Linked DNA regions of Arabidopsis thaliana. The protein of the gene in region 2 interacts with the protein of the main gene of each other region in a pairwise test. Each region holds a gene or a part of one and is shown on either strand. Other genes may lie near its edges. The genes, in order: AGL21, WRKY9, AT3G11100 and BBX26.

What was found.
Region 1: the proteins of WRKY9 (region 2) and AGL21 interact in a two-hybrid assay, tested with the Arabidopsis thaliana proteins (one large-scale study listed by BioGRID).
Region 3: the proteins of WRKY9 (region 2) and AT3G11100 interact in a two-hybrid assay, tested with the Arabidopsis thaliana proteins (one large-scale study listed by BioGRID).
Region 4: the proteins of WRKY9 (region 2) and BBX26 interact in a two-hybrid assay, tested with the Arabidopsis thaliana proteins (one large-scale study listed by BioGRID).

What each region holds. Positions count from the first base shown.
Region 1 is NC_003075.7:17,832,277-17,842,307, forward strand, and holds AGL21 (AGAMOUS-like 21), read right to left. Parts: upstream 6,694-10,031; 5' UTR 6,346-6,693; coding exon 6,164-6,345; intron 5,309-6,163; exon of another isoform or gene 4,486-5,308; coding exon 4,407-4,485; intron 4,262-4,406; coding exon 4,200-4,261; intron 4,076-4,199; coding exon 3,976-4,075; intron 3,886-3,975; coding exon of another isoform or gene 3,861-3,885; coding exon 3,819-3,860; intron 3,717-3,818; coding exon 3,633-3,716; intron 3,557-3,632; coding exon 3,419-3,556; 3' UTR 3,412-3,418; intron 3,317-3,411; 3' UTR 2,941-3,316; downstream 1-2,940. Other genes in the region: SHM1 (serine transhydroxymethyltransferase 1), read right to left, coding at 39-150, 231-308, 391-456, 538-642, 730-927, 1,006-1,098, 1,186-1,278, 1,363-1,487 and 5 more. UniProt on the Arabidopsis thaliana protein: Probable transcription factor.
Region 2 is NC_003070.9:25,539,517-25,547,638, reverse strand, and holds WRKY9 (WRKY DNA-binding protein 9), read right to left. Parts: upstream 3,691-8,122; 5' UTR 3,670-3,690; coding exon 3,391-3,669; intron 3,313-3,390; coding exon 3,178-3,312; intron 3,094-3,177; coding exon 2,809-3,093; intron 2,725-2,808; coding exon 2,611-2,724; intron 2,336-2,610; coding exon 2,024-2,335; 3' UTR 1,848-2,023; downstream 1-1,847. Other genes in the region: AT1G68160 (ZZ-type zinc finger protein, putative (DUF3755)), read left to right, coding at 86-203, 747-829, 909-970, 1,046-1,115, 1,421-1,471; AT1G68140 (zinc finger/BTB domain protein, putative (DUF1644)), read left to right, coding at 7,225-8,122. UniProt on the Arabidopsis thaliana protein: Transcription factor. Interacts specifically with the W box (5'-(T)TGAC[CT]-3'), a frequently occurring elicitor-responsive cis-acting element.
Region 3 is NC_003074.8:3,473,180-3,481,176, reverse strand, and holds AT3G11100 (sequence-specific DNA binding transcription factor), read left to right. Parts: upstream 1-3,276; 5' UTR 3,277-3,856; coding exon 3,857-4,592; intron 4,593-4,673; coding exon 4,674-4,687; 3' UTR 4,688-4,990; downstream 4,991-7,997. Other genes in the region: AT3G11120 (Ribosomal protein L41 family), read right to left, coding at 38-49; AT3G11110 (RING/U-box superfamily protein), read right to left, coding at 722-1,198; LBD21 (LOB domain-containing protein 21), read right to left, coding at 5,644-6,141; RLP35 (receptor like protein 35), read right to left, coding at 7,865-7,997.
Region 4 is NC_003070.9:22,214,316-22,220,948, forward strand, and holds BBX26 (B-box zinc finger family protein), read right to left. Parts: upstream 3,518-6,633; coding exon 2,762-3,517; downstream 1-2,761. Other genes in the region: AT1G60230 (Radical SAM superfamily protein), read right to left, coding at 1-31; AT1G60240 (NAC (No Apical Meristem) domain transcriptional regulator superfamily protein), read right to left, coding at 1,104-1,631.

The DNA.
Region 1 (10,031 bases), on a different chromosome or scaffold from region 2:
GAATACCAAAAAGAAAAATGGTTAAATGTGATTTTTACCCATTCTGATTCCACCAGGAACCATGGCAGAAACATCTCCAGGAACAGTGTTTTTGTTGGATGCAATGTGAACAGCTTCCAACACTTTCTCAACTCTAGATCCATCAATTCCCTGCAAACAAAATCGAATAAAAAATGAGTTTTAACTAAGAAATATAAAAGAAGATTATATACAAAAAAAGATCAAGTGACCTTGGGCTTTAGATTCACTAGAACCAGATGGTTGTCAGTTCCACCAGAAACAAGTTCATATCCTCTCTCCATTAGAGTCTGCACGAAACAACAATGTAGAGATATAATCAAAGTAGATACTACGCCATATGTGTTTTTCTTTCCTTCACGGGATTAGTACCTGAGCAAACTTTGCACTGTTACTCAGGACTTGTTCTTGGTATGCTTTGTACTCTGAAGTAGTTGCCTGCATTTTCAAACCATTTGAAGGTTACAGAAACCGCAAATCCAATAAGCAACGTTAGTTCCATTCCGTGCCTCACCGTACCTGTTTCAAAGCAACAGCTAGTCCTGTGATAGTGTGGTTGTGTGGACCACCTTGAAGACCAGGGAAGACAGCTTGGTTGATCTTGTCTTCAAAATCATACAAAACCTTTCAAGACAACAAATGAATGACGTGAAAGATTATACATAAATCTAAAACATTTTGGTTCAAATTTTGCTTCTTTTTCTTTTTTACCTCTTTCCCTTGCTTGTTAATTTCCTTAACACCCTTTCTGAAGAAAATCATGGCTCCACGGGGTCCACGAAGTGACTTGTGAGTTGTGGTGGTTACAACATCAGCATAGTCGAACGGTGAAGGGATTACATTAGCAGCAACCAAACCACTGATGTGTGCCATATCTGCTAGCATTACAGCTTTTTGCTTGTTACAGACCTGGGAAAAGAGTTCGAATCAAAACTCACTACTGATTACAATAATCTGTTCTGTAGTTGGATATGAGACTGAAATTACCTTTCTGATGCGGGCATAGTCATACAATCTAGCATAAGCACTTGCACCAGCAACAATCAATTTTGGCCTGAAAAGAGTAGCACTTTTCTCCATCTGCAAATCAAAATTAAAGACTTATGTATTGTTATGAAGCGGGTTAGTTATAAGTTACTATGATTGCTTAATAGAAGAGTTAAGAACCTGATCGTAGTCGATGTAGCCAGTGCTCTCGTCCAATCTATAGGGCATTGTTTCAAAGAAGATAGACACAGCTGATATCTTCTTGGTGTCAGTCTGATGAGAAATAAGAAGAAAGAAACTGTTATTCATCAGAGTCAGAGAGTTCCGAAATGACATACAAAGTTAACTTGAAGGCACCTGATAACCATGAGAAAGATGACCACCATGAGGAAGATCAAGTGCCATGATTCTTTCATGAGGCTTTAACAATGCAGTGTACACATGGAAGTTGGCAGGAGATCCAGACAAAGGTTGAACATTCACTGTAAGATCCAGTCAAATAAGCCATCAAAGGACTAATCAGATTTCTTGTTTCTCATATACATGAAAGTAGTAATTTACCTCCCCACTTTTCAGGATCTAACCGGAAAGCTTCAAGAGCGCGCTTCTGGCATAAGGTTTCTGCCATGTCTATATACCTACAAAGCAAAAGGTACTTGAGATTTCAATTCTTATTACAGAGATTGGTCAAGCAATCATGTCCTGAAACTAAATGTGTCAGATTGAAAATTCCTGAACATACTCATTTCCTCCATAGTATCTGGCACCAGGATAGCCTTCACTGTATTTGTTAGTCATGACAGACCCAACAGCTTGCATCACCGACACAGATGTGAAGTTCTCAGATGGAATAAGTTCAAGTCCCTATAATAACACAAGCGTTACAAACATCAGCCTAACTTATAATAATCAATCAAGGAACAAGATTTAAGAGATAGTAATCTCAGAGACAAACTAACCTTCCATTGTCTAGCTTTCTCATGCTCAATAATGTCAGCAATCTCAGGATCAACCTCCTCTAAAGGTGCGTTAAGCTGTTTTGGCCACTGAAACGAACGTTTACAAAGACATAAGTTTCATTAGATTCAGTCACACCAAAAATAGAACTCCATACATCAATTTGAAACAGACATAGAACTTCAACAATCAAAACCATTGCTTCAACCACAAGGAAAACTATAAACAAACAAGAGATACAAAAAGGCGCTTAAACTCACAGTGACACGAGATCTTTCCTTCTCATCAACAGCTTCACTGGGCAAAGAAGACTGCAACGGAACAAACAGAAATCAGAAAAAAAAAAAAAAAAAATCGAAAATTTCCAATCCGATTATAAAATTCGGAGATAAAAGGAAGAAACTTTAGGGTTGTTACCATGTAACATGAAGTGGATCGAATAAGAGGACGAATGGGTTTGTCAATTGAAGAAGAAAGCCTTCGAAGAGCCATGGCCATCGCCATTTTTCGCTAAACCTCTCTCTATCTCTGGTTTGTGAAACCCTAGAAACAGATTTGAAACATGAACGAGAGAGAAGAGAGAACAAAAATAACAAAATTGGGTTTATCTTGTTTGAGAGAATTGTGGCCTCTGCTTTTGGCTGAGCTTTTGGTGGTTGCAGCAAATTTTCGAATTTTTTCCCTCTTTTTTTATTTATATTTTCTTCTGATTTTTATTTTATATTTGTTGTTTCTTTGTCGTTATCTCTCAGGTCCCTGTCTACACCAACCTTTGTGAATTGTGATGATTTGGTGACGACGATGATTTGTTTCCCTTTAAGACAGAACCTTTATTGGTTTCTGGTCAGTGCAGTCAACGATAACCGATTCAGTTATCACACATCAATTTAATTTATATAGTTTCCAAACCGGTTAGTTTGGGGGAATAAGATTAACAGAATTATGGTGAATTTACAAAATAAAACCAACAAAACAAAAAACTTAACAGAAAATGTTTATTTAACATTTTAGAATTACCAAGTGCATGGTTATATATATTAAACAAATTATTGATCTAAGAATATTGATATTTGAGAGAGTTTTGAGGATAATAATTCATATGATTTTTCTCTATTAATTGACGAATCTATGGTTATAAACAAGTACAATATTAATACTCAAGATGAGTATAACAACACCGGATTTTAATTATATATGCTTTAATTATATTTAGGATTGAAAATATGACTATGTTAGAAGAACCATGCTGCTTATCGTACGTGGCTTGGTGTATAGAGGTTTCCAGTTCAAGAACCTTATTCAAACCAAGGCCTTTGGAGTGTTCTTCAACATCATGGTATCTTCCAACTTCAATCTGTGAAAGTTTTTAACGAGTTACATAAAATATATAAAATGCCTAAATGGTGCATGCATGTTTGTGAAACATCAAGATCAATTAAAAAAGTTTACCTCTCTGTTATTCGTTTGCTCTTGGTGGAGTGTCATAATCGGAATGTTCAGGCTGGCTTAGTTGCAGCCGAATCTGAGTGTGTGATTCATCATCCGCAACAGCTACTTCACGGTGTGTAAACCCGTTTGTGTTTGCCATATAAGCCTGAAAGTCGAAGCCATATCACTTCGAAGCTCTTACTCCAAAGAAAATGGAGTTTTTGTAAAACATGATTTGTTACCTTCTTGTAGAGCTCCACATTTTCTTGATGAATCCGTTGTACTTTCCTAGATAAATCGAGGTTTTCCTGATGAATAAGATTCCTCTGCACCACGATCAACAAAAATCCCAAAATTAGAATTGTAACTTTTGGTAGGGGATATTTGTGTGTGTCAGTGTGTGTATATATATATCTCATCATAGTGACCTTTTGGCTTAGTTCTTGGATTTCTTGAGTCAACAGTTGTTCCTGTGAATCCGGAAAAGCAATCGTTCTATTGATTTCCGTTGTGTTCTATAGTCAATCTTTTGAGTAATACACTCCAAAGCATATAATAGAAGGTAGAGTATATGTATTTATGTACCTTTCTCATACGAATTCCACGCAAACTTATCTCAATTTGATTCTCAAGACTGTTTAGCTCGTTAACACTTAAACCATTTAGCTGTTCTCCCATCATTTGCCTGCTTCATAGCAAACATACCGCAATCCATAACTACAAGTTTCTTCATTTCCTTTACATGCCTTCTATATTTTGATCAAAGACTAATTCTTAATACAAAATGTTATAAAAGTTCAAGGCGATACCGATGATTTTCTTGCAAAGCATGCAGTTCTTGTCTTAGAACAGCAGCTTCTCTCTGCCAAAACTGTAACACACAACACAAATAACTCATCAAACTTTGAACAGCTCAGTAAACCAAAATCTCATTTCAAAAATCAAACATCATGCTAAAGCATCAATCAATATATAATCACATATCTTTAGAGTTGTCGCTATATCTATATGTATACCTTGACTTCTGATGCGGGGTTCAATAGTTGTTGTTGCTCGATCTTGCTCTTGTTGTATCTATCAATAACCGACTTCATGCTATTCAAAATATTTAATATTAGTATACCTTGTTCATGGTATATAATTCACTCATATCATATCATCTCTTAGAGTAAATTACGTAAAAGATATTAATTTTCGATCGTGAAGTTTTTCCAAGTACTCCATTAAAAAGCTTTCATACGTAAAGAAAAAACTCATAGCCTAGAAATTTGTGCAATATAGACTTTCCTGCATTGGCAACATTATTTACACACGCTTATATATGTACACATACATACATTTCACATAATGTATATAATCTTGAACTCAGCAGTAATACGAATTTGTTACACAAACTAGATAAACTATATATAAAGTAAGTAGATGTTAGTTTCTTTTTTCAATAAGTAACAAAAACAAATGCTTAAATGTTATTTCTAGGGTGTAGATAAGCAAGAACTTTAAAGGAATCCAGTTCTAAGCTATAAACAAAATGACATAAATGTAATGCATTAGCATGGCACACTTTATTTTAAATCCAAGCAAACAATAACATGGTGTTAGTTAGTTTTAAGAATGGTATATAAACTTGACTAAATATGCTAAGTAATTTCATTTACCAAGAGGTTCGTAAACCCTATGATACATGAGAAATGTTATCAAAAGACAAACGTGAAGAATTAATAATGCTTAAGGTTGATGCTAATATAAAATTCCTCAAGGAAAATAGGGAAAAACAAAAATTCGCATTACCATACTCTTTTATTTGGTTGTTTTAATTGATAAATATGAAATTATATAAATTTTCAAAATATATAATCAAAATATTATATGATTTAGAATTACATGTTTATATATGTTTTCTAATAATTAGTTTTTTATCTCTATATTTTTTTTATATTAATCAAACTTTTAACAAAGAATAACTTACTCAGAAAATAGACAATTATAACGATTTTGCAGATATAAAGTTAAATATACAGAGTAATCTGATCGTTTAGTAATAATATATATGATTATATATAAATATCAAAAACATGTTTATGTTTACGAGTATAAATAGATCATTTTGTTAGTGGGTTAAACTAAATCAGCTTCCAGTTTATTGGATTTGAGAAATTAAGTCCTCTACATACCAATCTTCTAACTCGTGGTCTCCAATTATAATTCTTTTTTAGCTTTCCAATAGTGATGTTTGGGCATTCACACTTGTTTTCTCATCTATTTCTGAAACATATCTAAATTTGGAAAATGCAAACAATGAGCCTTAGTTAGTTATAAGTCAATGTCCATACACATAAACATATGTTAGGAAAGTACTTCAAAACATACTGATGATGGGTACATATAATCACCCAAATATGAAGCAAAGAAACTACTTCAAATTATTTTTTCAGCTTCAAAAATATTACTCTTCTTTAAAACTTCTACCTCATTTTTAATCTTTCTTTGTTGTAAGAAAACTGTTTGTCGGCTATACAAGACACATCTTATTGTACATACGGGAAAATTAATGTAACATGTTCTACGGACCGCCAGATGCGAAAAAATTCCACTATATTTGAATAGATCCCACAGCTACATATATCTCAGTGAATATCACCAAGCCTTCTAATAAACAAAACCGTAGCATAAAATTATATGCATACAGTGGTACACAACATCTCCGTAGATGTACATCCACAAAATCAAGAAGATATAAAGATTTCAGAATGAATAATTTTAAAAGAAGAACCTGGAGCTTGCAAAGTCATAGAGCTTTCCGGTGCTAGAGAAGATGATGAGACCGACCTCGGCATCACAGAGAATAGCTAGCTCTTTGGCTTTCTTGATAAGGCCCTTTCTTCGTTTGGAGAAAGTGACTTGTCTACTCGTTGAATCATCGATCCTTTGGATCACAATCTTCCCTCTTCCCATCAATTTTATCCTCTAATTGAATCTCCTCTGGTTCTTCTCTTTTTTAGGGTTTTTTTTTTTGTAGATCTTACCAAGCCCAAAAGGGAAGGGAATATGAAGATGAACGAATAAGGAGAAAGAGAAAGGTAGAAATAGAGAGAGAGGAAGGTTGAGCCAAGAGTCAACAATCTATTCGAGGAATAAACTAAGTATATATATGCATATGCACACACACACATACACACTCACCTCTCAGTTTGAGACATTTTTGGGTAGATTTAATACATAGAAAAGTACTAAATTTCTAGTCCAAAATTAGTATTTGTGTGTATGATTTTATCAAACCAATGAAATAGAGAGAAGTTCTTATAAAGTTCCTAGGTTAAGAGAATATATAGATATAGCTTAAATGTGTGTCATATATACAACTTTAATCACTGATTCTTTTTTATAGTTTGTTTATTACGGGAGATAGTGGAAACTTAATGGAATTGTTTAGATAAAAAGGAGTGAAATAATATTAAACTTAGTGTGAGTTAGGTAAATTTCCATTATCAATAATATTTCCTTTTTAACATGTCCGTACATTATTTATAATTTATTCTTAAGTCTTATTTCAAATGTCATGTGAAAATAGTGAATGGGCGCATCACAGGACTGTGTTTCTCTGACAAAACCCTCTTGCTTTATATGCTGCTTTACTTAATTTAATTAGTATCTTTTAGAGGTGATTAAAAGAAAATTAAAAATATTCTGGCCCTTTATTATGGTCATAGGAAAACTTATACTATATTAATTAGATCTGTCCAAAAGATATTTACCCAAAAAAGTAAGAGAATGGATTGAACAAAAACATACAGTATTAATCTAGTACAACATATATTAGTCCATATGGCTTTCGGTAGAAATACAAATGAATAAATTATTTTTGTGTCAATTAATAAATGATTTTAAACGATATCAAGTACACGTGTCAGACAGGGACTTGGAGTTGCGGAGATTCATCATATTAATTGTTTTGTCGTAAGTTTCCAAATATGGCAAGAAATTTAATATCAAATAACTATATAACGTCTGTTACTTTCGATGGCTTAATGCTTGATTTCTACTCAAAGCAACTCGCGTTCAATATCATAATGAAATGAGCTATACAAAATTTTCACTTATATATAGAATATTTTCACTCAGAAGGCCATATATATATAAACCGTAACTTATATTTCAAGCTTATGCATATTGCAAATATACAATCTAAAATGTAATATGCATTTGTGACAGGCACACGTGGGAGAAGCAGGAACAGCTCCTGAGAACACCAATTGATGGAAGTCTTCGCACGCTCCACCGCAGAATCCGTACACCTGATCCTTCATTACTAACTATTTTTGTGTGTTTATTTTAGTTTCTTTGAATGTCTAAACTTTAACTTTGACCAACCCTCAAACTTGCCATAAATCACCACCCCTAGCGCGAATGTATCCATCAATTGAATTTGATTTAAAAGTAGCAAATGTCCTTTAAACCGAACTAAACCAAGCTCAAACCCTAATAACCAAGTTCGATTTTATACCGTTGATGTATAAGATTTAGGTGGGCCCCAGATAGATAACATGATAATTAAAGATCTATTAAGACCACGTGGGCTGGACTGCTTCGAACCAATCACATCTCGAATCTCAAACTCAAATTCAGATTTGGCTCTTTTTCTATTAACAAAGAATCTTAAAGTTGCTTCCAACTTCCAAGTGACCAAATCCCCAATTATCGTCCTCTTAAGATAAAAGATTCAGTCTCATTCACGCCAGGTGTCAATCATCAGCGAATCATTTCGATTTTACCAATTATAATCATTATTATCTTTAGTTCGACGGGTTTATACCACTCTTTCTTTTACGTTTCAAGCCTATTGTCTACGTTTTCCATATTTTTCAAGTCTAAAACATAAACAATCTAGAATTATCACAATCTTTGTTTATTTTGGTTCTTAAAACCCCTTTAACAATATTTGTTTTGTGTAATTGTGTGTGTTTATCTTTGCTGTGTATATATATAAGACCTATTTCTTAAGAAATGTTTTGTAATGACTAAACCAAATATCTAACACATGTATAGAATCTGTAATCCATAAGAGCTAGTTACCAAAGAGTAATAGGTTTCACAGATGACCTATTTCTTTACCAAATTAAATTGCTTACTATAGAGTTTAAATAATACACCCATACTACTGACTATCTGTTGTTCAAGTAGCAGATTTATATTACAGACACCTATTGTTATAAATATAGAATATAGTTTTTCAGGTGATTCTTGGAACTTTACACCAACAAAGCATGTTAAGTATATAATTAATGCTATATTTTAGATTTAACTTTTCATCATGCGTTTATGTCCAATTAGTTTAGTCAAGAACAGAGATTATATTCCCATTTGAATACCGTAATGTTTCATTATTCTTCATAATTAGTCTCCATTATTCTTCATAAGTAGTCGTCTACCATTTGACAAAAAAATATGTTAAGTGAAAATGTATAATAGATATTGGTTCTATAAAGTATAGTTTTTTTTTTTCTGGTTGGTGCTATAGAATTCACGTGAGAGGGTAATCAGAGTGGTAGTGTGAATGATAATAAACCTTGTTTAGATTATTGATCAGACCAAGAAAAGGAGATAAGGTGGTGTCCCTTTTGATGTTTTAAAACTTAAATCCCACATATTGGGTCCATAAAGTTTATAATTTAAACATGTTCTCAGATTTCCGAAGATAATAATAATTTTAGTATGTAACTGCAAAGGTCGAGTTTAAAAGATGGCCTTGGAACTTGAAGACTGGTGGAAATTGTACTAAATGTTCCAAAGTTGTGGCCATTATTTCATTTTTAGTGTATACCTCTGATAGTAATTAATTTAAGATTCGATACTATACCAAAGATAACTAAAAATAATAAAGAGAAATTATGGTGTATTGGTTTTATAAATTGCTAAAAATGATAGTTCTTTTATTGGAGTTATAAGAAACTAGCTTTCTTATTTTTCGACAAACATACTTACGAGAAGGAGACGCATACGCGAGAGAAGAAGAAAAAAACCACAGCAAAAGTCATTGGGTATATGTCAGTGGTCCTTTGCCGTATATGTTTTCTCCTCCAATATCGTTGCAGTCTTGATAACTTTGTGCGTTTAAAACGCTAATTAAAGTTAACAATACAAGCTTAGGATTTAATTTTGGTTTTTGGATATAGGATTTTGATATTATATTTTAATTAAATTTCTTACGGTTTAATAGAAAAAAAGCGGTCACTGAAAATGAAGAATATGAGCACGAAAAATTTATAGAAGTTTTGAAATTCCTTTATTAAAATTCCTAGAATTTTTTTACTAAAAAAAAAAAAAAAAAAATCAGACCAAGCGTCACACACACTGAACCAACGTATCAATAGGTAATTGTTGTTAGCTTTAATATATAATAAACCATAGTCAATAATGTGCATTTAATAAACAAAGCAGTCGAGATCAACGGTAACACTAGTTGAAAATGTCATCATAGCTCACTATATTTTGAATTTTCATTTTTATATAATGATTCATTTTTCGTTACATGTAGTTCTTAAAGTAATCCGGGGGATATCAGAGCATGATTTAAAGCGGTAGTGTGTTGCATAATTGGGGTATAGCTAAAAAAGGAATTGACCATTAATTTTACTAAAGAG
Region 2 (8,122 bases):
TCGATTGAAAGATGATGCTAGGATTGAGATTGAATATCTTTTGATTAATTTAGGTTTTTGTACTAAAAGATTTATATTTCTTCAGGGCAAGCAGGTGGAATCGTCGTCTAAGTCAAGCATTCCCTCTGTTTTGCCTCATAACATGGCTTCATATCCTTTCTCAGGGCCATCTACAAGCACCAGTAAACAAATTACGTCTGAAGGTTAACATCTATCTTTATCTGAGAGATTTCCACCTGAATTTGCTAACTCCAGGTCTTTTTTTTCATTGACATGCACACATTAACATCATATTTTGTTTTCAAAAGGAGGCAATACGTTTTGATGTATGTATTATGGTGCAAATGTCGTTTAAGTATGTATTTTGTTATATAAATAAGTTCATAGGGGATTAGTGTATTTCAGCTAGACTTTTAGCTTCTTGGGACGATGCTAACATAACTACGTCTCTAAAGTAGTTTAGTCTTGGAAGAAGCCTTTACCCATAGATACTGAAATTGGTTTCTTAACTGCATTGTCCTTCTCTAGAGGTGCATTCTTGAGATTATTTATTTCATACATCTAGTAAAGGAGTATAATGACTATTGTATGTTTAAATGGTGAAATTCTATTTAAGTCCGCTCTCTGATCCTATTACCTTGTAAAGATGATCCTTTAAGCTCTCTTTCATATGAAGTTTTGTTGAAGTCACAATAATCTTTAGTCTCTTTTCTTTTCTTACTGATTCTTTCGTGGTTCTGTTTCAGATTTAAGTAGCTATGCAACAAATCTTATAGAACAGAATGTACGAGCTTTTAGTCAAATTAGAGCTAATCTCTCCTCATATAAGGTAAGTTCTAGATTACCTTGTTTAAAGGAATGCAAATGTGTTCTTGCTAAAACCGCTCCGTAATGATAATTGCAAACAGGCAGGGGATAACCTAGATCTCTTTCGTCAGGCAAGGAACAACCTTATCACCATCCAAAATGAGTAAGTTGATACTTTAAACATTTTGTGTATAAGTTTTGTGGAGCTTAGTGACCAGACGTTGTCTTGATTTGGCAGGATAAATAATATGCCTGGATTGATGAACAAGATGCCACCATTGCCAGTCACAATCAATGATGATCTCTCGGTGAGTAATACTACTTTAGTAAGTTAATAGGCTGCTCACTTTTGCATTAACAGTCCATTGTTTTAGATATCAAAATGTCCACATCACCCATTTGCTTGTTTTACCTCAGACACTACCGTAGTTCAAACCCCATATCTCTGGTTCAAGTGCTCAAAATATAGAATTATTGTGCTTCTAACTAGCTGAGTATCTTAAGACCAGTTTTTCAATGTTTTGGTTTGTAGAAATGTCTATCAAGAGCAAATAGAGCAGAAGAATAATAGCTTCCCAATATCAATGACTTTGGTTTCCTCGATTTGTACCAGGTGATGATGCCATTCAATACGATGCAAAGTGGCGGCTTCCATAGGAAGTAGAAGTCTTAGGAAATCATCTGGTTTCCCTTAGTTACCTGTAAATTATCCTAAAGAAGCTGGAGGAGGTAAAAAAAAGCTCATCAAATGTTGGGAAGTTTGTAGAAATGTGATTCTTTCGTAACACCAACGATCTTTATTGCTGCGCGGGATGTTGAAACAAGACATAATATAACGAATGTAGGGGTTCTTGGTCCTGGCTCCTAACTAAAAAACCTTCTTAACAAGTTCTATTAGATAAACTTAGTTCAATTAGTGTCTTGGAGAATTTCTAAGCGATCGATGTGTATAAAAAAAGATTCTATTGAAGAGCGTGTTGAGATTTGCATCTTTAATCTTTTGATCTTTTGGTGTGTTGTTTTGGTACCCATTTTTTCTTAGCATTAATCAATCTTTATTTTTCATAAGCCAACATTGAACGAAATAAAACAATCCGAAACCTTCGATGTTGTATATACGAAACATAAATGTTAGAAACGAGAACAAGAAGAAAGGCAAAGAATCCATAATGACAAATAATGGGACCAAAGAACAAGCATAGAGATATAGGAAACTCTACATCATCCAATTTAATCGGTTTTGAGAAGATGAAACGTGATCTCCTCTAGATGGACCATCAAAGTTCAAGCTTCTTATGGTTCGATTGTTGTAGCTGCTATTTTGTGGGTATGTAATCAAAGAAGAGTCTATGGCTTGAGGAGTTTGGTAATAGGAAGGATGAGAGAGGTTGTCACTGGAATCGAGTAACAAGAATGGAGAAGTAGAGGCAGTGGAAGCCATGGCTGTTGCTCCGACCGGAAGTGGATGGTTATGTGTTCCTTCGTAGGTTGTTATCAGTATTGACATGTCTTCTAAACACCTTTGCACCTTCACAATGTAACAAATCTCATTATCAACTATATATATATACATAGTTTCATTCCATTCAAATGTGGTTATGACATGCTATGAATTCTACATTGGACATAAAGTAATATATAAAGTACATAGACGAATCAACTCATTACCAATTCGTTTTGAGTTGGAAGATCTATAAAATACTACGTTATCAGTAAATTGATCAAAATGGTTCCCTAACATAAAATCTTATCTTTGAATAAATAAATAGTAAGACCCCGGAATTTGAGGGTGTGTGCAGTTACCTGTTTTCTAACGGGACATCCTGGAGCCACGGTGCATCGGTAATAAGCTCGAGGACATGGATTCCCTTTCGCGGTTTTCTGACCGTACTTCCTCCATTGGCATCCATCATTCATCTACACACACACACATCTTTCTTATTAAATGATCATGTTACCAATCTCCAAACTGAGTCCAAGATATGATATAAAGAAACTCACTGTTGCGGTCTCACATCTCGCCCTCACGGACACCCTGGCCTTTCTATTACCTTGAGAAGATGAAATGATACGTGGCATATTCATATCTAAGCTGCTACTATTGTATCTTTGGTGATGAGACTGAACAGCTTCTTTGCTCTCTTCTTGTTTCTGTTTTTTCTCTAGAGAAAGTGAAAGCCCTATTTCTCTTTCCATTGACGGAGATCTCTCAGCTCCTCTTTTCCGAGCCTTACTTGTTATATCCACACATCGTTTGCCTTGTACTCCAAGGAACATTTCAAGATCCTAGGTTAAAACATCAATCAAGTTTCATATTAATTATCACCAGTCACCACTATGTATAACGTGTATGAAGAAATAATTTCTCACCATCTTCTTGGTTTTATCGATAACCGGGAATTTCATCTCAAGATGACGATAATCTTCAAGAGTCTGCTCGACAAGCTTCCTCAACCTAGTATTCTCTTCTTTCACACTTTCCATCTGGATCTGTAGCTGCAAGAGCTGATCGCCATCCATAGATGTTAACATATATTCGCACATAAAATGTTTTGATGTATGTATATATACGCATGTAGGTACCTCTTCACGTTCGTTTTCTTCTTCTCGGGTTCTTAAACCTAAAGAAGAAGAATCATCTTCGTCTTCTTTCACCATTTGTTCATCTTCATCACCACTAGCATCATGTTCTTCGTCTTCTTTGTTCTCACGGCTATGTTTCGATCCTTCTATCTCTTTCTTTTTCTCCTCGGCCTCGAGCTTAAGAGAAAGATCGATGCCCATTAATGGAGATGCAAATCGAACCTCTATTCTTTTTTGTCTTTTAGCTTTGGATTTTGAAGTGCTAAAGTCAAATCCCATTTTCTGATCAGAATATCGTTTACTATTTGTATTATTCACTCTAGTACGCATCTAAAGCTAGCTTTGACTTTGTTTAAATAATTAGTTTTATCTTTATGAAGAAACTAATCCATGTTACTTAATAAAGAGCTTAGTTTTGGCCTTTGAAGCAATTAAACCGGAGTTACTATGGAATCATGACTTTGGTTACCATCCTAGTAGTCATAAAAAAGTGTATACATATATTCCTCCCCTTCTCTTATATAGTTTGTTTATTAAGTGACAATAAGATAATTAGATCCGGTTTCTTTGAAAATTGTATTACATTGTTTAGTTTTGTAAATCCAGTTTATGGCCGGCATTAGGGTCTGCGAAATTTCCCATCACATTCACATGGATGGTACCATGTGAAATACAGAAGACCATCGAACGTGTAGATATTTTTTTTAAACTTGTCACTGATGTGTTTATAGCTAGATGAATTCATCTCTTCGAATAAGGTAGAGTTATAAAGATTGAATACTGAATAAAGAAAAAGATGGGTGAGATCAAACGCACCATTAAACTTTTTATTTACTCAATTCAACATCATAGATAGGTCTATAAATCAAAACATTCAAAAATTCATAATGAGTAAGAATATTCTAGAATATGGCGCTGTCTATATATTTTGAATTTTCCTATTAAAGTTGTTTTGAAAATTTCAATAGATATCTTCTTAAAGTCAAATTGGTGTTATGAGATCATAAATATATATGAGAAAGAAAAAAGAAAGAATTAACTGATTCTATATTTAGATTGTATCAAATAATATAAGTTTTATTGTTAGTTTGGTTGAACAATCTCACAAAATTTCTTGATCTCAAGGATTCATCTTTAAGAGAAGGATAACTAATTTCATTTATCCCATTAGTACTAGGCTACTAGCTAACCTAAAATATTCTTTCTATGATTTCGATGTACATACAGGTTATGTTGATAGAATATGTGTGACATATGTGAAGTCCGGATTTTGGATTCTTTTAAGCGTTATGTGATTTATTTAAGCAATAAACTATGGTTTACAAACTTGACATGTACACAAAAATAAAAGAAACTTGACATGTCTCTTTTTTTCTTTTTTCTTTTAGTTAGTGTGCTTTTAAGAAGATGTCTATATGTGATATCTTATTTATTTTTATTATAATCACTAACGTGAAATTCAAATTAGCAATTAATAATTCGTACCAAAAATACCGAGAACAAGATACTTGCCTCGGGATCGGATCTAAAAATAGTCAACTAGAAGACTTTTAATTTTTATTATTTTCATACTAACTGTCCTTTTATTAACTTAATTTCTTTCTTGCCAAAAACTTTATCAACAAAATTATCAGCTCTGTACTAATATTATTACCGAGACAACCGTTTGAAATTGTCTATCTATTAAGAGTATTTACATTAGTAGATCTAATCCTATATAAAATCGTTATCTTAAATCGAATTAGCATACAATATAAGGTTACTTGCAAATCATGTAAGATTATCCACATATACTTTTCGTACAGTACTTTTTTTTTATAAGTATCCATTTTATTCAGAGTTGATTACGGATACAAAAAAAAGAGGTTAATCCGTAGAAATCAAATTGGATAATGAATGTTTCACAATTGTATAAAATCTATAGTCAAAACACACAATGTTGCAGTATCATCGAATGACTATCAATATGAGGAGTTACTATATTATTAGAGTACCAAAAAGTTTATAGACTTAAGATTAACATTTCAACAACAAATCAAGCTTATGGACTTTGGATTAACATTTCAACACAACAATATGATGATCCGTCTTTACACGGGAAAGCATGTGTCAAAAGAATATGCATGTGTTTTGTTTTACTTATCTTACCAAAAAAGAACTTTTTGCTGATTTTAGATATAGAAAAATATAGCATATAGTAATATAGTGGAAAACTAAAACATTTGACAGAGGAGACGTGGGACAAGAGAGCAAGCGGCGCCGCAGCCATATCTCTCGTTCAAATTTTATAATTACAATTAAGAAAAGGTCAAATGCATTTCCCATTGTCTCTTTGTATCTCTTTGTGTCACTAAGTCAACCTTTAATTGAAATCCTCCATATATTGATCTGTCCAATATCAAATTTTAACTATGGATAAGTATATGTCTAATTCGTGGCCAGGCCCATTAGGGACTTTTAGAGGGCCTTTAAAACAATAAGCACGCGCGTCAGTCTTACGTATTGTAAGGACGCGTGGACGTTTTACTTGACGTGAAGGAAAGAGAAACTCCGATACCAGAGCTTGGTGGAGCAGTGGAGACGCTTCCACGCGAATCTCGCAGTCCCACTCGTCTTCCTCCTTCCCTCTCTTCCTTTGAATACCTTACCTCTCTCGGTCTCGCTCCCTCCCTCGATTCAAGCCTATTCGTCTTCTTACGCTGTGTCTTGAAACCCTAATCTTTTTCATTTCAATCCCTAAAGGTGAAGTCTTTATTGCGTGTTCGTCTTCTCTGTCTTCGTTTCTACTCTTATTCGTCTAATTTGCGATCTGGGTTAGTGTTTTTTTCTTACGGATTTTAGTGGGTCCGTGTTAGATTATCGAGATATTGATGTAATTCGAACTTGTGCGCCGCTGGAAAAACTGAATTTTGTGTAGCTATGACTTTTCCGATTTCTGGTTAGGTTCATGAGTCATTGAAAATTTGTTGAATTGTATAATTGAACTTGTCAGAATCCATCTGTGTATTCTTATGTTTTTGAATTCTAGGGTTATCGAGAGCATTTCGTTCTTTCTTATACATTTATGCTAACATTTTTATATAAATTTCTATGGATCTGAGATGTGTCAAAGGTCTTTGTTCCATGTGGATTAGATTAGATTCTAAGGTTTCTCCTTTGTTTGTTTAATAATTGATTCACTGTCATGTCGCGTGAGTTGTTCTGTGAAGCATGTTCCTTTTGGTTGTCTTGTAACATGTCTGCACATCTTTTGTTATTTTTTTATTTTCTTTTATGTAATCTTATTAACTGTATTTGATTTGATGCGAGACTTTGTCTCACCAGTTTTTATTCTTGGTATCTCTATACATTGATTCTCCATCTGTTTGCTTTCCATAACTTGTCGATTTGGTTTTGTCATTGTGTTAGTTATCTTGTGAGTTTGAATCACTTTTCTAGGCTTCCAAGCTAGTGAGGTACATTACTTCGTTTGTTTGATCTCTTTTCGTTTCGGTATGAGTTCCTTGATTTGATTTAAGTTTCATAGATTAGCATTGTTTGTTGATCATGCAATTCCAGGGATGTATGAATTCAACATGTTTATTCGAACCTCCCTCTTTGTTTGCTATGAGGTTGTGAAATATCTTTTATAGATGCATATGTAAAGCATTATCATGAAATAGTTCCCAAATCAGAGTGTGGGATGCTACTACTAATCATGTTGTATGCTGAATGGTGAACTGGAAAAATATATGTAGTTTCCATGAAGAGATATCTACTTGTATTGTTACAAACTTTTATGTGGAGTTCTTTTGCTAATTTGATGAGGATTTGTACAGGTGTGATTTTGAGATTATGGCCAAAGCTAGGAAGGCAGGACGTAGGGTTCCTTCACGACGCTTCAGGGCAAGAGCAAAACCATACAAATTTCCATCTTCTAAAAGACTTGTGGCGAGAAACATGTTTGCGGAAGATTGTTCAAAGTGTCTAGAGAAGAGGGATTGGGAGAATGTTATATGTTCGGTTTGCATGGAGTGTCCACACAACGCTGTCCTTCTTCTCTGCTCATCTCATGACAAGGGATGTCGTCCTTACATGTGTGGAACCAGTTTCCGGTATTCTAATTGCTTAGATCAGTACAAGAAAGCGTCAGCTAAGCTGAAGACATCGGGCCATCAACAGATCAATAAGTCTGAGCTTGGAAATCTCACATGCCCACTTTGTAGAGGACAGGTGAAAGGTTGGACAATCGTACAGCCTGCTCGTGACTTTTTGAATCTTAAGAAGAGGATCTGTATGCAGGAGAACTGTGTTTATGCTGGAACCTTCAAAGAGCTGAGGAAACACATGAAAGTGGACCACCCTAGTGCGAAGCCGCGTGAAGTGGATCCTGATGTGGAGCAGAATTGGAGAAGGCTTGAGATCGAGCATGACCGGGACGATGTTATGAGCACGATTAGGTCGACAATGCCTGGTACAGTGGTGTATGGTGATTACGTAATTGAAAGGAACAATGCCAACGGTTCAGATTCAGACGAGGGTGGTGATGATGATGGGATCGATGCTGCATTTGGTAGGAATCTTGTGAATGTTTTCCTTCTGTTACATGCTTTTGGGGCATCAGGTAATCAGATCAGACGCTCTGATTCAGATTCGAATGACTCGACAACAATCAACCGAGGAACAAGTGAGCTGAATTTCTCTGAAGAAGAAGAGGAAGAGGAGGAGGAGGAGAGGCATAGTAACAGTAACT
Region 3 (7,997 bases), on a different chromosome or scaffold from region 2:
ATTCATAATAGAAAACATATACAAGCCCATTTCTCACCTTAGCCCTCATGGTGAATTCACAGAAGATAAACTCTTCACTCCTCTGATTCTATGCAAATTTCAGGAAAATGAGCGGCCGCCAATTCAGAAAGATTTTGTTGCTTCCACTCATTTTGCTTCTTTATATGACAGCAAAACCCTAGACACTCGTTTCCTCTTTTTCCAAATATTGGGCCGATCGATACTAATTTTATGCCCAATAAAGCCCATACCGATGACTTTCTAAATTGTAACATGTTTTGTGCCTTTCTAAATTGTAACGAATACTTTTATTTTATTGAAATAATGGATTTAGAAAAAAATAGCATGTTATTTATACAGAAATATAGCACAGAATTTTACATGTAACTGTATCAAATATGAACATATCATTGTTTTATCATTTAGTTATTTACCTGAATTAATAAGTCCATTTACCCTTATAAACATCTACACAAAAATGTCTATCATCGTATGTTTAAAATACAGATGAAGTGATTATAAAAACTTCACAATCAATGATAAAGACAGAATATGAAAATTAAATCCTTTTAGAAAAAACCATAACCATTCGTGTGTGTGTAAACATCATCCTCCATCCATGTCCATGCAATACACAAGTATATGTATAAATCTTTACCCACACAATTACAAAAAAAAAAAACAAATTCATATCTTAATCACTATCACTCTAGCTGTCTCATTAGCTTGACGAGTCGACACGGATGGAGACTCGGCAGAGCGGACAACTCGACTCGGTTTTAAGCCACCGATCCACACATTCGCAGTGGTAACAATGGCTACACGGAGGAAGCACTTTCATCTTCTCTCCTTCTTCGAAACCACCTAGACATATACAACACTCCTTCTCCTCCTCCTCCTCCGCCCTTTCTCTCCGGCAAAGCACCACCGGCAAGCTCCGAATCTCCGCCGGATCAAGCCCTCCGCTACGGCAACGCGTGAGTCGATCGGGAGAGGACGCGTGGAGATTGATAGAATCCCGGGGGAGGCAGTTCCGGTGGATGTAGAGAGTGAGTAGTGCGAAGAAGAGCACGACGGAGAATAAAGCTAAGGCGAAGAAGAGTGTCCGGCCATGAATCTGGAAGTTCCGGTCGTCGTATTGATTCTCGTGCCAGTACAAAAGCATCGAGGCTTGTGGAGACGGTGAAGATGACGTCATTTTCCGGTTGGCGATGGATGGTTACTTACTTAATTCTGGCCGTTGATATATAGTATGTATAAAAACAGCGTCGTGATGTATATATATAGTATACTAGTGCTAATCTCAGTCACGTGATTGTATTTCCTTAAATAAAATAACAGAAAGAGAATATTAATTTGAGTTAAACAGCTTCCACAAGTAGTACAACTGTCTGTACAAGCAAGACTCAAGTTTGAAGGAAAGTGGGATTTTTTTTTGTTACTTTATATATTGTTTTAATTTGTCTTAATTAGTTTAGGAACAATAATAAAGACTATATTAGGCAACATGCACGTACGTTTGTGTGTTTTCGAGATCCCAATGGTAGCAACTGGCAAGTAGCAACATACTAAAATAAATAGCATTGTTTAATTATGCGTACAAACGAAATTGGCTACATTTTTAGTTGCTTCACCACCTATACTTGATCATGGATTAGCTCGATTACTTGGCTGCAGGATGTGATATTTGATATTATTGTAAAGTGATTTAAGAGTAACAATAATCGATTGCGTCTAAGATTCAGTTGACAAACTAAATTGTTTTACGTTCCAACTCACATCACTTTGATAACCTGTAAATCATGATTTATCTTTTCACATCTGCGTTTTCATAAGAAAGTTTGAAATGTATAAAAGATGCATGTAAACCAGTAAATGATGATAATGACATATTTAGTTTAGAAAACTATATGTAGTGATGTTAATATGGGCTAACCCACCCCAATTAAACCCATCCCATTTAAACCCACTCCATTTAACTTTAAACTCATATAAATCCATTTATTTTTGAAACCCATTTAACCCTACCCATTTAAATTTAGTAAATCCATGTGAACCCATTTAAACCAATTAAGTGAGATATTGCCTTTTATTAATTAATTCATAAACTTAATAGATAAATAACAACAGTCCATAAACATTAGCTAAATCTGAAATATTTATAATTTACTAAAATATAGATTTCAATAACATATAATGATAATAATATTTTCAAATTTGGCAAAAAATATTTTTTTTTGTGATTTTGGCGGGAAAACTTGATTTTACGGTTTTACGGGAAAATGTCGTTTACGGTTTTGGCGGAAATACGTGATTTTACGGTTTTGGCGGAAAACACTTTTTGTGATTTTGGCGGGAAAACGTGATTTTACGGTTTTGGCGGGAAAACGTGATTTTACGATTTTGGCGGGAAAACGTGATTTTACGATTTTGGCGGGTAAACGTGATTTTACGGGTTTGGCGAAAATACGTGATTTTCAATTTTGGTGGGAAAACGTCATTTTACAGTTTTGGCGGGAAAACGTGATTTTACGATTTTGGCGGAAAAACGTCGGTTTACGATTTTGGTGGGAAAATGTGATTTTCGATTTTGGTAAAAAACGTGATTTTGGTGGGAAAACGTAATTTTATGGGTTTTAGCGGAAAAACGTGATTTTACGTTTTGTTTTAAATATATTTAGTATTTTGCTCTTTATTTTAGTTATAATTAAGTTATCTACTTTTTAATAAAAATAACTAATATAAAATAAAACATAAATGGGTACCCATTTGTTTGTGGGTAAACCCATTTATTAAATAGGTTTAATTGGGGTAACCCATTTAACCCCATTTGATATTTTTCTCTAAATGGGTTTAAATGGGTTATTTTTTTTTGCACATACCCATTTAACAAATGGCTATTCAATGCCCAAGTTAACATCACTAACTATATGCTTATTTCTACTAGCTCTTCACCAAGACCATCGTGGAAACTTTGATCGACAGAAAAAACACCTCAGCTCTTTTTTCAAATATTTCAGCGACATTTTAGTAGTTATGAGGAAACAGTAGTAGTTAGGCATGGACTAACATATCAATTGGCGAGACAGCAAAAAGACAATTAGACAAGACACGGCACGAAACATACATTATAGACATAGAGTCTACGACCTAACACGTTTGCGATGCTCTCTCTTATTACCTAACAATTCGCCTGCTTACCTATTTCCTTAATTACATCCCACCATTTTTCACTTCCAAACTTCAATTTGTTACGGCGTAACGTAAATGATCTTGTTACTGGAATACACAAAACGTATAAATTTTCTTAATATTCTGATAACATTTCTTTCTTTCCAATTATGACTTTTAAAAACCACTACCAAAACTAATACAACCTCATATTTACTGTCTTTCCTAGAATACACAAAAATACACGTTATAAGATTTCCTATAATGACATGAACTGATGAGATTCTAGCCCTAATCGTTATTATCAATCAGTCTATGAGTTTAATAATGTAATCTTATCATCATTACCCGTAGAAACGCATTAAAAGAAGCTTGAAATTGACTATAACTAGTAGTAGCCTAGTTAGTAGGACTCTCAATTTATGATTAAACCGGTTTTCGATAACCGTTTTCGATAACCGGTTTTTCAGAAATGAGTGTGATTGATTCGGTTAGCAGAGGAAAAAGAGAGAGGTAGGAGAAAGAAGATAATCGCCGTTGCTGACGTCACCGCCGGTAATCAAAAATCTCTCCTTTAACCGTAATTTCTCTTTTAACTTTACCAAAAATCCGATCCAACAGAAATTCTTATCCTAAGCCTCTTTCTCCACCGCGCACGTTAGCCTCCTCTCTTTCCCACTCCGAGATGGAGACGACGCCGGAGACTCAGTCGAAGACTCACCGTCTACCGGCGGGAAGAGAGGATTGGTGGAGCGAAGACGCTACGGCGACATTGATCGAAGCTTGGGGAGATCGTTACGTCAATCTCAACCGGGGAAATCTCCGGCAAAACGATTGGAAAGAAGTCGCCGACGCCGTCAATTCAAGCCACGGGAATGGCCGGCCAAAGACCGATGTACAGTGCAAAAACCGGATCGATACGTTGAAGAAGAAGTACAAAACTGAAAAGGCGAAACCTTTATCGAATTGGTGCTTCTTTGATAGACTCGATTTCTTAATCGGTCCGGTTATGAAGAAATCGTCCGGTGCTGTTGTTAAATCGGCGTTGATGAACCCTAATTTGAATCCTACTGGATCTAAATCAACTGGTAGCTCTCTCGATGACGATGATGATGATGATGATGACGACGAAGAAGATGATGATGATGCGGGTGATTGGGGATTTGTGGTGAGGAAGCATCGTAAAGTTGAAGATGTAGATTCGAGTGAAGGATCAGCCTTTAGGGAGCTAGCGAGATCGATTCTGAAGTTAGGGGAAGCGTTTGAGAGAATCGAGGGGAAGAAGCAACAGATGATGATTGAATTGGAGAAACAGAGAATGGAAGTTGCAAAGGAGCTTGAGTTACAACGAATGAATATGTTGATGGAGATGCAATTGGAGCTTGAGAAATCTAAACTTGGGAAACGAAGAGCTGCTTCAGGTAAAGTTTTCATTTTTATGTGTGTTTTGTTGTGATTGATGAGTTTACTGAAACTTCAGTTGTGCTTTGTTTGTTGTATAGGTAAGAAGTTGTAGGATTGTAGATTGTGGAGGAGTTACTGATGTGAAGCAAGGAGCAATGGTTGGATCTAAAGCTCATACGATTTGGAGAAGATGTTATTATTATTGATCTTTAGGTTTTCTTAAGTTATAGCGCGATGCTTTTTTTCTTCTTCTTCTTTTTCATTCTCTTTTTTAGCATTGTAGAGTTACATTGGTAGTAGCAATGCGAATTACCAAAAGAACTCTCATAGTATCTGACATATCAAGATGTACTTTTGTGAAGTATCAATGTATGATGGTTTGTGTATCAGTGTCTGCAGTTCCAAATTGTGCTCATCTCTCTTTCTGTGATCTGCAATTACTCTTTTGCTTAGGCAGGTTTCAGGAATGTGTACAGACTTAACAAGATGCGTAGAACGGTTCTGAGGAGAACTCTTATCAGAGTCATTCATAATTCAGTTTGGAATTTGATCAAACCCACCAAGCTATTGATTTGGATGTTTGCTTATGTGACTTTGCTGCACTCTGGAATCTCCAGGACAAGACTCTTGTGGCCTGAGGGAGACGAGTTGACACATGAGGCTGTATTATTGGAGCCTCAAAAAAGAACATCATAGAAGCATATATATCAATGTTTCATGTTTGGTAGAATTTCGGGATGACATAAGCATGTGCTCTCCTATTCATACCTGACTTACAAAGAAGCTCTTCATCTAAAACACCTCACTTTACTCACCTTGGCCTACCACTTGGTCCAAAACTGGTAAGGACTCTGACCTTCCAAGGCTCATCTTGTACCTGAGTTATCTCATCGCATGTGATGGTTACTTTTGAAGTTAAAACCCTTTTTCATACATATGATGAAGTAAGCATCTGATTATGCATACTGGAATTCATACATTAGGGACAGACTTTAGATTGTCAAAGATAACTTGTAAAGCAAAGTGCAAATACAGCTGATAAAGAGATATATGATAGAGAGATAAGGCCTATACAAAAGGAGGCTGTCCAAGATCATACAAGTAAGCATCAAGATTAGTAGACCCATCAAGCAACATCAAGTCACTATAAGGTACAAGATCAAGAAAAGCAGCAAGCTCAGGAGAATCATCCAAAGGGGACACTTGGCTGTTGTTGACCCCAGAATGGGCAAGTAGTCGAGTGCGAGCAACAGCTAGATCGTGTTGAAGCTCGAGCATCTTCTTCTGCAGAGACGCTATGGCTCCAATGCAACCGTAAACAGGATCCTTGAGACGAACCTCAGCTTCATAAGCCAAGGAGTTAACGGTTTCTTGTCTCTGTTCTTCAGGAACTTCACCGAGAAGCTTACTGACGTTGCTGGCTCCAAAGACTTTATGGACTTTGGCGAAAGTTATCAAGTCACTTGAGCGGAAATAAGGAGCGAAAATGCAAGTGGGTGTGCATCGTCTCTTCAAGAGCTTGCAGGCTGCACAAGATGAGCTTGATCGTGGCTCATGCCCTCTCATCTCAAACTTTTTGTTTGTTTGTTTTGATTTTTTGGTGGTAAATGTTAGGCTCTCGTTTTTTCTAAGTTTTATCTCGTGCTTCCTTTATATATTGATAAGAGTCTTTTAACTTTTTGTGAAGAAGAGTGTTTTTGAAAGTAATAGAGAGAAGGAAACAAATGGGACAAGGCATGGGCCTATTCATCATTTGTGTTGGCTTTGAGCTTTTCCTTGCTAATTACATGATTGGTCGTGAGTTCGAGTCCATAAATCATAATCATATATTGAAAAATCAAAGGTACTATAGAGATAGAGAGAGTTAAAGTAACAACACATCAGCTAATTTTCTCTTTTATAGAAGAAGAAACAAGAGAAGCAAGACTTTTGGATTAGTGGAAACAAGTCAATCAAGCAAAATACAAAATAGCTTTCACTTTGCTCCAAATTGAAGAGGAAATTTCTTACAAAGTGGGCACCAATATAGAACTGAGCTTATATCACTTTTTGTGGTTCTTATTGTAGATTATACATAGCTTAAGCAAAAGAAAGTCAAATAATAAAATAAATAAAATCACAGGTAGCATATAAAAATTGGAGTGTGGAAATGGAGAAGACAAGACATTTGACAAGAAAAGTGAGAGAATGAGAAGCCCACCACCATCACCACCGTCCCCTTCACTATCCATTTTCTCTTCTTTCTTTGGCTTCCTCTTCTACTCATCATTCATTTTGGTTGTGAATTTATACCAATAACAAGAAAAACTTAACTCAAAACTTAAAATTTCTTTTGTTAAATCAAATATTCATAAATCTTAAGGACCTTAAATCTTTTAACCTTTATAATGAGTACACAAAACGATAATATTGTTATCTCTTAACCTTTGTGAATGAGTATAAATATACAAACAAGTAATGGTTTAAAGAAATTGCTAGTAGCAACTTAAAAAGAATTGTCATTTACTTAATTAAATCTTCTTATCTTGTCATTTCATAAATTAAATCGTAATATGTAATGCTTTCCATTCCTTTTCCACTATGGATTATAATCCCATAGGCTTACCTAAACTTTTCTAGTAGTTCACAGAGCTTAGCATATAATCACTCCCTTTCCTTAAGCCATTACCAAAAACCCAAAAACTCATCATCAAAACACACTTCTCCATTCTCGTATAAACTACTTGAAAATGTCGAGAATGAAACAGCTTGCTGCTGCAAAATAGCAGATAAATGTCTAATAAAGAACCAGACACAACTGACTTCAAATATATCCATGTATAAGGTTTAGTTTATCAAAATACAGTAAAAATGGCTTTTTGATCAAATATTCCCCAATTCTATAATTGCTCTGTATTTCTGCGTCTTAATTGATACGAACAAATAGACATACATTTTTAGATACGAGAGTGCAATGGGGAAAGAAATGATAACAACAAACTCGCGGGAAAAAACAACTTTACATGTACATCTAAAGAGCGAAAAACAGAGTTGTTCAATTACAAAGTTGGCTAAAAACAGAGTAGAAGAGAAAAACACAAGCTAAACCGGAAACAATCTGGATTTGAAAATGGCTAAAAGAGTGGTTGGTTAACGTCAAGGAGTTCGTCCGGTTACTTTGACTTTCCTCTTCCAGATTATTCAGATAGGTTATAAGCCTATAACAACGAAAATAAGTTGTTAAAACAGAAATAAAATTCATTCTGATGGAAAGCTACCAAACTCGTTCAAAAGTCGGAACATTACCTCTCTAGTGGGTGGTGGTGTTTCTGCGTCGACGATTGTTTCGGCCAAAAGGGTTCATGAACCACTCTGGTTTGTAGGAAACCAATATGTATCCAATCGTTAATCCAAAGACAATTCCAGGTATGAATCCTATTGCG
Region 4 (6,633 bases), 3.3 Mb from region 2:
TGATTCCAAGACGCCTCATTGTCGTCGACATACGACCAATCACAAAATTGAATTTTTATTATCCCTTTAATATTTAGACACAAAATTGCTCTTTTTTTTTTTTTTGTATAACACCCAGCTAGTTTTCAATTTTCATAAAAGTACATGAACCATTTTTGTATATACTCAAAATATACACATTGCATTTCGTACGTAATAGAAATTTAACTTCGATATGGGTGATATTAAAGCTACTTTTGTAGACTTATCAGAAACCATTTTTTATTTGTGAATCTTTCTTTACTTTTTCATGGTGTATATTTTTTTTGAAGATTCATTATTTGATGGAATTTTCTACTTATCGTTTTCGTTTTGTAAATAGAAGCATTTAACTTAAGATTATAAACAGTTATTGAGAGTTAAGACATTGTAGAATTTTAGTTGAGTATATCAAGAAAATGTATTTTTTGCTTATGTTTCAAATGTACAATGAAATCTATTTTTGAAGTCTTTGATTACACTTTGATTTATTTATCATTTTGTGATATCTCCTTTTTTCGCAAACTAAATTTGGAATATTGCAGTATATTTAAGATAGCAACAACAATTTTTTTTTTGTGTAAACGCAACAATAAAATTATTTAATCGTAGGTAATGTCTACATTTAGTACTGTATATATATTTTTTGTTAGGTCAATTGAGAATCATGTTTGAGAGCAAATTAGCAATAGTATCAATGTATAAAAGAAAATTATGCCTTTGGATAGAGAAATCTAATCTTAGAAGAATTCCAAATTTGGAACTCGATAACAAATCCACCGACCAATCACCCTACATCTAAATATTTCTTTACAAAATCAACGCAATTGCATAACCAAAAATAACACTTAAAGATGCCACAGTTTTAAAACGATTCCACCAATCTTTCTTTTCAATTCTAGTAACATAAAGATTGTACAGAGACGATTTGCCCCAAACAAACAAAAAGATTGAACAAAGATGAATGAGAGAAATCAAGAAACTGGATAATGAGAATACATGAAAATTCCCAAACAACGGGTTCAATAACGTGACACCAAAAACAGTAATCGAGTGTTCAAATCCAGGATCAGAATATCAGTGATTCATTTATAGTAACCTCGAATGTGCTGGGCCAACATGTAGTCAAATGGTTGTGGATACAGACGTCGAATCTTGCAGATCACGTAATCTTGTTTCCACGTACTTGCAAACCTATACTCTTCCATCGCCCAGATTCGTCTATCTCTTACTCTTCTCTTCTCCTTTTCCAAGAACTTAAAAACCGATTTCGGTTTCCGATCAGTTTCACAGAACTTATAAACCTTCTTTAACCCTAGAATCTTCCCGGTCGTCACCGACTTGATCACTCTATCACGACCGATGATTCTCCAACAACCGTATTCACATCCATCGGTTAAACCTGAATTCACACTCCGATTAACGAAGAAGTATCGTCCGAAGTGTAGGATTATAGGATCTCTAGTAACGAAAAGCGTCCACGGATTCTTGCAGTACACGTCTTCGCTTCGGAGGAAGTGGCGAGGCCAAACGTTTACGTTATCGATCATCATCTTCAAATAATTTGCGACGATTGCTTCTTCGATTGATTGTTCACGTCTTGACTTCATCATCTTCGTTCTTCAGTGAAACTAAGATCTCTTAGAAGAAGAAGATTTAAGGAAAATGCTGATGATGATTGATGAAGGGAGAGAAACAAGAAACGGAAGATGTAAAATATGAAGATGATAGTGTTTCTTGGGAAAGAAGGTACTCTATATATAGAGAGGCGCTTCGTCATCTGTTGGTACCGTTTATATCAAATTAGTGAATTGACCGATTTGTCCTTTGTTTTTTTCTCTTCGATATATACACTTAACGAAATTATTCTATAATCTTTGCTTATTGAAATAATTAGACCGATAGTTGTCAATATTTGTATATTTTACTTTGGTTTAAAGATGTAATATTAAGTTCTTAAATAAGAACTAAATTAGATCTATTTAACAAAACGTGAAGAATTTGCATTTTTATTTCGTTCTTTCCTTTTACAAAATGACTATGTTTTCTCTTATTGAAGAAAATAGTCAGAAATAAAATATTAATAAAAATTATTTATTATACAAGCATATTTTCTTGCAGAACATCATGTAACTTTTTTTAACACAAAAAAGGTCATGTAAATTTTATTTGTACTATTTTTTGTCGTCATACTAATCAAAATCTTCTACTCTGCTTACTAATTGTGAGATATTCACGTAAAGTACAACAACAACATCAAAAATCAAGATAATTAGACGATTTTATTGAGAAAATCACATCCCCGGAAATATTGGAGTTGGTTCTTGACTTTCTTAAATAAAATTAAAATCGCAAAGTGAAATTTAATTTTATTGTTGAAAAAAAAATATTATTTAATTCCTATAAACCCCTTAAGCATCGATTGTTAATCAAATTAATTTGTGTTCTTAACATTTTAGCAAAATTGTTTTATGTTTTTTCGGTAATTGTGGTTTCTAGATAGTTTCTAGTTAAATGATGAGATATACATACATCAAGATATGATATCTTCCATCCTCGAACAAATTGGAGTTAGTTTTGACATTTTATTTTCTTCTAACATATTAAATCCAACTGATTGTTTTTTTTTTCTTCTTCTTTTCTTTTTCAAATCCAGAAGCAATTATAACACCAAGAATTAAACCCCTAACGAAAACTCTAAGAAACACACATAAATAAAAAGCTAAAGAAGACGATTTTCTATTCACCTACCAAACCAAGAAAAATCATCAACATCATCTAGATAATCATAATTAATATCTTGTTGAGGTAGTTCTGTTGGGGGCGTAACTGGAATCCCCTCTGCCGCAGGAGGATGAACCGGTGGGAAATTAAACTGATAGCCGCCAATGAGAAAACGGCGAGAAGGTCTCTTGCAGATTACGCAAAGCTTACACCTCGAATGCGGCGGCACCGCGTCCTCGTGACTGTGAATCATCCGGTCGCAACTATCGCATAGAATCTGGTTGTGTGTAGGACAATAAACAACAGCATTTGAATTCGAAGCTACGCATAACTCACATCTCATTGCAAACATCCATCTCTCGCAATTGTTATCCCCGTGGCAGCTCCTCTCAAACATCTCTGCTCTTCTTTGGTGACCACCCACATGCTGCTGCTGATGATTATTGTTATTGTTATGGTGAACCACATGAGGCATATGTGCATGATCATGGTGTTGATTATTCATGTTAGCGAAGACGACTTGAGTTTGATGGCCATTAGTGGCACAATTGTAATGGTGCGAATAACATGATTGACAAAGAACCATCCCGTCCTCATAACAGAAAAGTATAGACGGATACATCGAGCAGTTATCGCAAAGTTGGTAACGTACGTGTTCTGCATGTATGTTATTATGATGGCGAAGGTTGTCACATGTAAGGCAGAAGTTAAGAGCTTCTGTAACACAATGGATCACGGCTGTTACATGTCTACATGTGTGACAAACTTGAGCCATGTTTCCTGAAAAATATTCATATAAGATTATAACAAAATTATCAACTTCGCAAAACGGAAGAGAAGAAACACGAATTTAAAATAAAAAAAAACATTCAACTTACACGAACCAAGGAGAGAAGGAAGCCAAAGTTTTGTTTTCTCTGTGAAACAATCTGTGAAGCTCGTATTTAGATGGAGTTTCTAATTTGTAGATTTTTTTTTAACAAACTGATTATGTAGAAGGATATATTTTACTAAGTTATATACTTATCTTTAACTATAAATTATTCTCAAAATTCAACATTACATTTATTAATTGAGAATAAGAAAGAAAAAAGATAATTATATGATATTTGAAAAATTGATCCTTGTTTCTCATTTTTTTGTTAAGAATAAAGTTTTTTTTTTTCCTTTTATCGGATCTTAAAGATCAGTAAGAATAATGTCGTTTCTTAAATTTTGATGTAGAAATCTTTTTTTTTTGAAGAAAAAAATATCCCAACTTTATCAACATAACCAAACGGGGGACAAACAGGTAAATTAATGAGTTTTTTTTTTTTGTATAACTATTTTGCTTTAGAGTTTAGATTGTTAGCTTAGTACTTACATACTTAAGTTTCTGATCAGTCTTTGTTATGATTTTCACATGTAGGTAGGAAGCTGCGCTTTTGTTCTTTTTAATGTGGAAATGCAGCCTTAACAATGGATGGTATATGAATTTGAAGCTGCTCTTTTGTGTCTCTTTTTTGATGCGGATTAGCATGCTTTTGTGTAAAAAACAACTTTGCTAAGAGTTACTAACTATTCAAGTGTTTGTATGGTTCTGTAATATGGTTTTTTGATACAATGCTAGCTTGAACTTGATGTCATGCTTAGGCCTGGGTACGAATTTCTTTTTAGCATTTAAAAACGGGCAATTCTTGTATTCAGCATCTGTGATTTCTCATTATTTTGTCGTGTAAAGTTACTAAACTAGTTTAATTTAGAATTTATAGAAAAAAAGAAGTGGCTCTCATGACAAGTAGTCTAAATTCAGTAGAACATAAGAGTTATTTCATCACAGTACTAAGAGGAAGAAGAGAAGTTGCTCTGCAATTCCTTGATGCCTTTGGAATCAAGAAAAGAAGTTTTGCCCTTGAGAAAATCAGAGTACCAATGAGCAGAGAGTCTAGGAGATCTCTTGCGATGTGGATCACTGAAATTTACAGAGTACAATCCATAACCATAATCGTACCGCCCTATAAGCTCGAATAAATCCATAAATGACCATACAAAATAGCCTCTAGTGTCTGATCCATTCCTACACGTAGCAATGTCCTTTTCCTTAATTACACGAACAAGATAAGAGAAGAAAAGATGCAATAAAAAAACTTTACTTACCTTATGGATTTGAGCACACCACCAATGTAAGCATTCATGTATTCCACCCTATGTGTATCCTTGTGTTGCGTCATCGGTGTACCTGTTTGTATATGACATTTTAAGTCCAAATCAAAAACATGAGGGAGAGACGAATAAATTAATCATAGAAGAGATTGACCATTCTCAAGAATGTAGACAGGAGGATTGTCATAGCTCTGCTTTATATACTCTAGGACAGCTTCCATAGTCCACGGAGCAACAGGATACTTGTCCAAACAAAAACAAAACAAACAATGAAAGATAGATTAGTAGCACTTATTTGTTTAAAGACTTATAATGTCAAGGAATATAAGGTGTTTTGTATCTGAATTTGGTAGCCTTAAAACTCTTACCTCTATAACTGAAAAATTCCCAAGGTCTTCTAACCAGTAAAACGAAGAAAAAATGAGTAGTAACAAATTATAAAGATAAAAGAGGTTTTTTTTTTGTTATACAAAAGAATGAGTCTGATTCATACAAGTCACATATGCGCCCATGTCTGAGTAGAAGTCCGGGTTTCCAGAAATAGAAGGTTTGAATTTGATGTTTGTGACAGAAGCCGCAAACTAATGATTGATTCCTATGAAGTCAGATGAGCCTTTAACTTGTTCTGATTCTTCCTCTGAGAAAACTGGCAGTCTTGATCCAATGGTTCTTTTCATTGTATCTGGATAGTCTCCAAATATAAGAGGTCCAAGGAACCTGAGTTTTAAAGAGCAGATTTTCTTTCTTTTCAGCTTAAGATCTTGCACATGTTGCCCAATTTGAAAAACCTTTTAGAACTGTTTGTGCCTGACTCACCAACCGAAATAGAAATCTTTGGCTCTTTGAGTTGCAATGGCATCATCCTTGGAGCTTGTAGAAGGAGTCAACCCCATTAAATATAAGCCAAAGCCTATGGAACCACCCTGCTTATCCTGCACATTGTATATAGTATGTTGCTTCTTATACATTCAAAAGAGGGTTATGTATAAGCAAGTATACCTTGTACTTTTGCTTATATAGTCTTGAAGCAGAGGCGTGCGCAAGAAGTAAGTTATGGCCTACAATATATGTTTCAGTAGAAGAGTTCCCTAACAAGCAGTTTTTGCCCGGTAAAGAACAACGACCAGGCGGTGTATCCCCATCGTTGTAACCTCCAATAGTAAATACATTAGCCTCATTGATAGTGGTCCAGAATTTGACATAGTTCCCAAACTCTCTGAAACAAACATCTACATAAGCAGTGAAGTCTTTGCTACAATGCCAAATAACACCAAATTTAGTTTCACATAATACTGTCCTAGAAAATCTGTAAAAGAGATTTAATTAATGTTGTTTTTTCTTAGCCTACATCATCATATTGTTGACCCATCCTCCATATTCATCCTCAAGATACTGAGGATGATCGTAGTGATACAGTGTAACATGTGGTTCAATCCCATGGGTTATTAATTCGCTGATGAGGTTCTTGTAGAACTGTAGACCCTTTTGGTTAACAGAGCCTCTTCCATCTAATGAGATAAGAGCTAATTATAAAGTTGATCCCTTCAAGTGAAACAAAACCGGCATAAATGTTTAAGAAGGCTTACTAGGTATTAGCCTAGACCAAGATATAGAGAATCTGAAGGCATCTAAGTTAGTGTCTACCATCAGCTTCACATCTTCCTACAAAGTCACAATGAAGTCAGGCTTGATGAATAAACTATATAATGTAGTAGTAGTCACAAGGAGAGAGTAAAGCAGAAAAGAGAA